Xenopus tropicalis: one gene and its partner. Each later gene encodes a partner of the first gene's protein in a complex. Links are inferred from orthologs where the notes say so. Each region holds a gene or a part of one and is shown in the gene's direction. Other genes may lie near its edges.

What was found.
Region 2: the proteins of rad1 (region 1) and rhno1 are in contact, whole or in part, in a crystal structure (PDB 6J8Y), measured with the Homo sapiens proteins. The link is inferred for Xenopus tropicalis from reciprocal best matches to the Homo sapiens genes RAD1 and RHNO1. Residues at the interface, in NP_002844.1 of Homo sapiens: Asn47, Gly48, Ile49, Lys50, Phe64, Ile65, Gln66, Ser149, Lys155, Ile157, Glu211, Ala212, Lys240, Val241, Ser242, Arg244, Gln254, Tyr255, Met256, Phe266, Glu268; in NP_001239428.1 of Homo sapiens: Ser55, Trp56, Val57, Ser58, Pro59, Asp60, Phe61, Asp62, Thr63.

The regions. Positions count from the first base shown.
Region 1 is NC_030677.2:199,174,552-199,179,124, forward strand, and holds the start of rad1 (cell cycle checkpoint protein RAD1), read left to right. Parts: upstream 1-1,653; 5' UTR 1,654-1,769; exon of another isoform or gene 1,770-1,809; 5' UTR 1,810-2,068; intron 2,069-2,308; exon of another isoform or gene 2,309-2,309; 5' UTR 2,310-2,318; coding exon 2,319-2,513; intron 2,514-3,776; coding exon 3,777-3,885; intron 3,886-4,304; coding exon 4,305-4,563; intron 4,564-4,573. Other genes in the region: dnajc21 (dnaJ homolog subfamily C member 21), read right to left, coding at 217-310, 1,383-1,479. UniProt on the Homo sapiens protein: Component of the 9-1-1 cell-cycle checkpoint response complex that plays a major role in DNA repair. The 9-1-1 complex is recruited to DNA lesion upon damage by the RAD17-replication factor C (RFC) clamp loader complex.
Region 2 is NC_030679.2:10,384,717-10,389,068, forward strand, and holds the start of rhno1 (RAD9, HUS1, RAD1-interacting nuclear orphan protein 1), read left to right. Parts: upstream 1-1,491; 5' UTR 1,492-1,595; exon of another isoform or gene 1,596-1,788; intron 1,789-2,973; exon of another isoform or gene 2,974-3,016; 5' UTR 3,017-3,054; coding exon 3,055-3,222; intron 3,223-4,352. UniProt on the Homo sapiens protein: Involved in microhomology-mediated end-joining (MMEJ) DNA repair by promoting recruitment of polymerase theta (POLQ) to DNA damage sites during mitosis.

The DNA.
Region 1 (4,573 bases):
CCACTTTTTCTTTTGTATCAAGTCCCTGTGTGTGCGGCACTCTTTCTATTATATATATATATATATATACTGTATATATATATATATATATATATATAATGTACATTTGGAATTTCCTGAATGAATTGGTATAATCAAGGGCTTTAGTTTCCTATAAAAATACAGGCAAAATAAAGGGTTTGTCCTATTACCTCCCAACATAAGCTGATAACTCACCAAGCTCGCTCCTGGGGATCACTAATAACATCGTAGGCAGCCTGGATTAATTTAAACTGCTCGGCAGCTTCCTCTGAGTTGTCCAAGTTCTTATCTGGAAAAATACAAGTGATGGATTCAGGATACTCCCAATGTCTTTTACACTGTCAGCGATACATTCATAAGGGAATAGAGGGAAATACTTTGATGTTTATCTTTTTAACCCTTATTAGAGAACTGTACGTGTTTGTTTGGCTTAGACCCACACAGACACCCACTTACAAATACAACAAGGGGAGTAGCCACTGGTAGGCAGAAATAGTTTCCAGACTAAATTTCTAGCTGGCACCCTCATACCCACAGCCAGTAAATGGGGGATAGGCCCTTCCATCAACTGAGTAAATGATCATGAATAAAAGTTGCACTGAGCTGCACATTGTCCTGAATGTGGAATTAACCCTTCCCGTTAGAACATGATTATGAAAGCTTCATTTTAAACACGGCAAGCACATTCCAGCGCCTCCTGCAAGTTCCTTCTGTGCAATACCTCCATATAGATTGTAAGCTCTGCGGAACAGGGACCTCCATCCTCTTGTGTCTTTGACTCTTAACTTATTGCAACTGTATCTTGTATTTATTTGTATTTATTGTTATACTTTGTATTTATCTATTATTATCTTAATAACCCCCCGTTTGTATTAATGTATTCTACTGTACAGCGCTGTGTACATAAGTAGCACTTTATAAATAAACATATACATACACACAATGCGCTCTGCATTAGATTAGCCCCATCCTTACCTTGGTCTCCCTATGCCATTCTACACTGTAACTGAACAGTCCTGTAATCTACCCTCTCTGAACTACAACTCCCAGAATTCCGGGACAGCCATTGAGTTTTTCTTACAGTATACCCTGGGCAGTTAGATGGCTGCAGCCAAGTCATTGTTAGTCTGGGCTCACTGCTTCAGCCCTCCCACTCCCCCCATTCAGCCACCTGAGTGTCCCTAACTAGTGTTCCTACCTCACCCCAAACCCTCCCCAGCTGGTGTCAGTGTGACTGGAATAGGAACAGCAGAGGGGAAGCTCCTGTGGGGGCGGGACTGAAGCACAGCTGAGTGTTATAGCAATGCTAATAAGAATATCTCCCAGCATGCCCAGCAGCCCCAGTGCCCCTAGCGTCTCACCTGGGTGCCAGCGCAGAGCCAGCTTCCGGTAAGCCTTCTTCAGATCCTCATCCGAGCAGTCCCTGCGGACCCCCAGCACTTCGTAGTGGCACCTCATTGCCGGCTCTGTCAGGGCTACACGTGCGGACCGGAACCGGAAGTGGCTCTGAGGTAGGGGTGACTGAGGAAGCAGTTTCCTGTGGGCAGACGGTTACCAGGGCAACCAAGACTTCCGGTGCGTTCTGACGTGCTTGGTTTGCTCCAGTGCGCAGCCGCTCTGCTCCCACCTGCAGGTAGCGGGGTGATTATTACTTACTGGGGGGAAGCAGTAAATGTGTCATTGCGGCCCTCCAGCCCTTACTGCCCTCCAGCCCTTACTGCCCGCGGCCCTCCAGCCCTTACTGCCCTCCAGCCCTTACTGCCCGCGGCCCTCCAGCCCTTACTGCCATCCAGCCCTCCAGCCCTTACTATCCGCGGCCCTCCAGCCCTTACTATCCGCGGCCCTCCAGCCCTTACTATCCGCGGCCCTCCAACCCTTACTATCCGCGGCTCACTGTGCAGCTTCACTATTCTTCCCTGTGTTTAGGACTTCCCAGATGTTTTTTGGCCCATCACCCTTATTGTATACTGAAGACTGCTGGGAGTTGTAGTGCAGTAAACATTTTCTAATCATTTTTGGATGATTCGATACTTGGCTGAATCCAAAGGTTTGAACATTACTGTGGTACTTATTTTCACTTGCTTCCATGTGTTTGTTAATAGGCTCCGCCCTCTATAGCTCCACCCACTTATTAAAAAACACACATTGAAGGGCACGTTTATATTGTTGAAAAGGACTTTCTCTCTATTTCTATATATGATCTAATAATAATAATAATTTAGATTACTGTACCTTAAGGCTACTAAAAACATTTAAACATTAAATAAATCACTTATTATTATTACAGGGCCCTGGGTATGCCTTTCCTGACGCAGCCTGAAGTGGACGATGAGCAGTACGTGTTAACCTGCAGCCTGGACAACGCCAGGAACCTGTCCAACATTCTGAAAGCCATTCACTTCAAGGATCACGCGTCCTGCTTTGCTACCAACAATGGCCTTAAAGTCACGGTGGAAAATGCTAAATGTCTGCAGGCCAACGCCTTCATTCAGGTAGCGGGGCTTATTCCCTTATCCAGCGCTTACACCCTAAGCCCCTGATTATGTGTGAGCTAATGTATACGCAGGGAGCAGGGCAAGCTGAGGGAGATCCCCCCATAAGTCCCACAGCAATACTGTTACATCTGAGGGGCCACTTGCATGTAACCAGTTTAGGTATTCCTATCAATTATTTATGGGCCAGGTATTCCTATCCAGTCCTTATGGGCCAAGTATTCCTATCCAGTAAATATGGGCCAAGTATTCCTATCCAGTAAATATGGGCCAGGTATTCCTATCCAGTACTTATGGACCGGGTATTCCTATCCATTACTTATAGACCGGGTATTCCAACCTGTTACTTATGGACCAGGTATTCCAACCTGTTACTTATGGACCAGGTATTCCAACCTGTTACTTATGGACCAGGTATTCCAACCTGTTACTTATGGACCAGGTATTCCAACCTGTTACTTATGGACCAGGTATTCCAACCTGTTACTTATGGACCAGGTATTCCAACCTGTTACTTATGGACCAGGTATTCCAACCTGTTACTTATGGACCAGGTATTCCAACCTGTTACTTATGGACCAGGTATTCCAACCTGTTACTTATGGACCAGGTATTCCAACCTGTTACTTATGGACCAGGTATTCCAACCTGTTACTTATGGACCAGGTATTCCAACCTGTTACTTATGGACCAGGTATTCCAACCTGTTACTTATGGGCCAGGTATTCCAACCTGTTACTTATGGGCCAGGTATTCCAACCTGTTACTTATGGGCCAGGTATTCCAACCTGTTACTTATGGGCCAGGTATTCCAACCTGTTACTTATGGGCCAGGTATTCCAACCTGTTACTTATGGGCCAGGTATTCCAACCTGTTACTTATGGGCCAGGTATTCCAACCTGTTACTTATGGGCCAGGTATTCCAACCTGTTACTTATGGACCAGGTATTCCAACCTGTTACTTATGGACCAGGTATTTCTATCCAGTACTTATGGACTGGGTATTCCAACCTGTTACTTATGGACCGGGCATTCCTATCCAGTACTTATAGACTGGGTATTCCAACCTGGCATTCCTACCCATTACTTATGTAATATTTTCTCCAGAGCCCAAGACATGATTCTCTAATGATGGCTGCCTGCTATGCAGTGCGGTACCTCGGGCTCCATTCTATTCAGTCATTCGGGCTTGTGGATATATTTGGCACTTTACATTGTTTGTGAACACTCAGCTCACCCTTCTTTGTTTCCCTTTCTCACAGGCTGGAATCTTTCAAGAATTCAATATCCGAGAGGAGTCTGTCGTGTTTCGGATCAATCTGACCGTCCTGCTGGATTGTCTTACGATATTTGGTGCTAGCGCTGGGCCAGGTATAACCTCTCCTCTGTATGGTTCTTTATTTGTTGTGGGATTTAACTTTTAATGCAATTTAGTTTATTATATGTGAGTAAAGCTATAGAAAGATACAGGGTGCAAGCAACAACTGGTACTCCCGGTGCTTTTAGGCTGAGCCGTAAGCCCTGGGGCACCTGCTCCTACCCACAATCCTGCTAAACAGTTATCTGTTAAGTGCCATGAAGTTCCCCTTCCCTCCACCAATCAGGAAACGCTTATTAGGAAATGACTATTCTCCTTTCACAAAATCACCCTTAATTTGATTTGTTGCCCTCTAGAGACAGCTCAGGATCAGAAAATCACATTTTTATTCCATTTAGTAGACGTGTTCCTGTGTCAGGCTGAAAGCATAGCAGTCCTGATTATAGCGCTTTACACTTCTGTCTCGTCATAGGCACACCTACGGCTTTAAAGATGTGTTACCAAGGATACGGTCACCCCCTTGTCTTGTTTCTAGAAGAAGGTGGGGTGGTGACAGTGTGCAAAATCCACACACAGGAACCCGAGGAGACTCTGGACTTTGATTTCTGCAGCACCAACGTCCTTAATAAAATTATCCTCCAATCAGAAGGACTTAGAGAAGCATTTGCTGAACTGGACATGACCAGCGATTTCCTGCAGATCATCATGTCTCCTGATAAACCATATTTTAGGTACGTCTGG
Region 2 (4,352 bases), on another chromosome or scaffold:
TTGCAGTCACAGCTTTATTGCACCTCTGCCTAATGGTTTAATCAGGGGTGCTCAATCTTTTTAAGCAGGGGGCCAGTTCACAGTCCCTCAGACTGTTGGGGGGCCAGACTATAGTTTGTCCCACACCCCTGGCTATAACTGGCCTGCCTCAGCGTGGTCCTTGGCTGCATCACGTTACCCTGTCACACCCGCCGATGCTAATGTGTCCAGCGAGGGCCACGCTGAGGCAGACAGGTAGTAGCCAGGGGTGAGGACACAGCAGGGGTAGGTAAATGCCCGTGGGGGGCCGTAGTTTGAGGACCCCCTGGTTTAAAATGTAATGGTCAGCACAACTTTCCCTTTTTTTGCACTAAAGCCAGAAAACATGTTAAATATCCTCAATTTGTAAATAAAGTTGCCATGGCTGCGTGGTTTCATCACTAGCACAGTGCCAGCGGCAGATAGTGCCCAAATATACAGTAGCTGGGCAAGTGGCCTTACTGACCCATTGCGGGACCCCCCAGCAATACAGCAGCTGATGCATAGAATGATTTGCTTGGGGCTATGGAACAAAGAGGAAGGATTACAGGCATTTATGGTACAGCATCCTTCATAATGAACTCCCTGCTGCTCTGATTGGTTAGTAAGGAGAACTGGACCAGCTAGAACGTTATTCTGTTAGGTTCTTGCTGTATATGTGATACAAGGGGGTTAGAGATCCCTTCTCGTGTGTTTCTAACTTTATTTTCCAACCTATACTAATTCCCTAATAACACCCGCACTGCTACAGAGTGAGCGACAATGGCTCTAGCACCCCCCTTTACTGATTGTTAAAGCCCCTGTCCCCTCCTCATTCACTGAATAGGTCACTCATTACCCATTGAATTGATGGAGGAGGAGGGTGAGGCAGACAGAAGGCAAAGCCATTGTATAACCCAACAACCTCATTATATGGGCGCACTAAAGCCAGAAAACAGGATACATTTTCACAATTGGGAGATAAAGTTGCCATGGGCAGATAGGGCCCATATATATATATATATATATATATATATATAAAATATGTGGCTGAACCATTGCAGGACACCCCCTCCCCCAAAAGACCATTAAGACATTACAGGTGGGTTGTAGTTGAACAACAGCGGCTTCCATAGAGTGGAACATGACAGTTCCATATTGAGAACTGACACCCCCTACACCCACAGGCCTCCATGCTCCTTCTACACAAGCCTTGCACCCACCCTCATACACACACAGCCCCAACTTCACGTCCGATGACGATCTAACCCGATCTAAATACCTGTTTATAAGACGGTGTCAATATCGGGCCTTTCCGTGGTTTTTGAATTTTCGCGCTTTCGGGCCCGCTTAAACCCACGTGACCACATCGACCAATCCACAGCGCGTCCCTAGCGCGTCACGCATCTCTCGACCAATCGCGCAATCAATCAACGAGTTCCTTTGGCAAAGAGCCAATCATAATGAGCGAGTTATAGAACGCTCGCCGTAGCCAATCGGTGTCGGGGAAAGAGAGAAGCCCTAACGTATCCCGGAAAGAAGGGGATATTACAGCGCTGGGCCGGAATGTTCGGGGGCTACCTGTCCGCTTATTAAGGGTTTGTAGCTGTCGGTGGGTTGTGGGTGCAGTTGTGGATAACAAATTGATTGGTGGGGAACATGCTGATTGGACCTGTTTGTTTTAAACGGAATCGGAGCCGTCATGTTGGGAGCGCCATCTGTGGGTAACTCATGGTATGACAGGAGGCAGAGACTAATGACTGTAGCACTCAGAGCTTGGCTAACGTACAGGTATGGGACCCCTTATCCGGAAACCCGGTATCTAGAAAGCTCCGAATAGACTCCATTTTAATCAAATAATTCAGAATTTTTAAACCTGATTTGTTTTTTCTCTGTTATAATAAAACAGTACCTGTACTTGATCCCTTGATCCCTGGCAGAACAGCCCTATTAGGTTTATTTAATGGTTAAACGATTCCCTTTTCTCTGTAATAATAAAACAGTACCTGTACTTGATCCCAACTAAGATATAATTACCCCTTATTGGGGGCAGAACAGCCCTATTGGGTTTATTTAATGGTTAAATGATTCCCTTTTCTCTGTAATAATAAAACAGTACCTGTACTTGATCCCAACTAAGATATAATTACCCCTTATTGGGGCAGAACAGCCCTATTGGGTTTATTTAATGGTTAAATGATTCCCTTTTCTCTGTAATAATAAAACCGTACCTGTACTTGATCCCATCTAAGATATAATTACCCCTTATTGGGGGCAGAACAGCCCTATTGGGTTTATTTAATGGTTAAATGATTCCCTTTTCTCTGTAATAATAAAACAGTACCTGTACTTGATCCCAACTAAGATATAATTACCCCTTATTGGGGGCAGAACAGCCCTATTGGGTTTATTTAATGGTTAAATGATTCCCTTTTCTCTGTAATAATAAAACAGTACCTGTACTTGATCCCAACTAAGATATAATTACCCCTTATTGGGGGCAGAACAGCCCTATTGGGTTTATTTCATGGTTAAATGATTCCCTTTTCTCTGTAATAATAAAACAGTACCTGTACTTGATCCCAACTAAGATATAATTACCCCTTATTGGGGGCAGAACAGCCCTATTGGGTTTATTTAATGGTTAAATGATTCCCTTTTCTCTGTAATAATAAAACAGTACCTGTACTTGATCCCAACTAAGATCCCTTATCCGGAATACCCTTGGTCCCGAGCATTCTGGATAATGGGTCCTATACCTGTACCAGCAGCAAGTATAAGGATTTAGAATCTAAAAATAAGGCAGTGGGATTTTACAGGCAAAGCCAAAAAGGTTTGATCTATTTTAGATCAAACCTTTTTGGCTTTGCCTGTAAAATCCCATTGGCTTATTTAATGGGAGGCTTATTTGCCCACTGCCTGTCAGTGTTCTGCACCTCATACTAATCCTGCTGTCCCTCTGTTTTTGTGCCTTAGGGCTGATTTTCCTGGATACAGCCATTTGTTTATTGCCCCTTAGCACCATGTGGCTGCTGGCGTTCCTGCCATTAACTGCCGATGCCTCGTAAGAAGCAGACCTCATACAACGCAAGCAAACCACGCCTGGTGTTCCTGGAAAGCCCAAAGCAGGGTCTGCGCCATGAGTATGGACTACCCCCTGACAAGGCGGCCCACCCTGTATGTGTGCCCACCAAACCTCTGGATCACAATGCATCCGCCTCTTGGGTAAGTGTTGGGTATTTTTTCATTGCTACATTAGTTTGCTTTGATTCAGGAGGGTGTTAAAGCTCTGGGCTACCCTGGGATCTAACACCCCCATTCATCAGAATGGCATTCAGCTGTTTACAGCAATCACAGTCTGACCAAGGGATACGTTGCTTTGCATTGATGAATGTTAAGGGGTTGTAAACCTTGCTGCACTGCTCAACCAAACTTTATTTAGTTGTTGCTGGACTATAAATCCCAGAATAATGTAATATATGATAGTTCAAGCATGCTGGGAGCTGTAGTCTAGCAACATCAGGATTGCATTTTTAAAGCAGTATTGCACAATAAAACTATTCCCCAAATCTCCACAGCCAGCAACTGCTTTATAATGCAAAACAATTCTCCAATGAGAATCCCTGATTCTGTAACAAGATATAGGCTTCTAAATGTCATCAGCAACAGGCCCACTGAACAGTTTGATGCCCATTGTGCCATCTTGGAGTCAGGAAGGAATCGTTTCCCCTCTGGGGCAAATTAGAGAGGCTTCAGATGGGGTTTTTGCCTTCCTCTGGATCAACTAGAAGTTAGGCAGGTTATATATAGGCATTATGGTTGAACGTGATGGACGTACGTCTTTTTTCAACCTAACTTACTATGTTACTATGTATATTGTGCATAGGTTTACATAAGTATAGGGCATGTAGGGGCCCCAAAATAAAAATGCCCCCCCATATGATCTGTCATTTTAGTTACTGCACAATCAACATATTTACTGCATTTTATGTGGGGTAAATCCTGCCTAGTGACAAGGAAGAAAAGGAAAGGTAGGGTTTAACATCATAGGGGCATATTAACCCTATGGGTCCCTACACATACAATGACAAATCACCCTAAATATGAATGGCCAATGGCCTACTGAACAGTTTGATGCCCAATATGCATAGATATACCAAAGTCTGCGGTATGTACTGACCCCAAAATGAAAATAGCGCATAAGGATTTCTCGTCTGCAACTCAGCTTTTGCACACAGAGCCCCCTGTCAGTGTATTATGTGCAGTAACCCCCCCCCTAACTATACACAGACCCCCAGAAAACCAGTGTCGAACTGGGGTACCTGGGGCCCATCAGAGAACCGCACCCTAGGGAC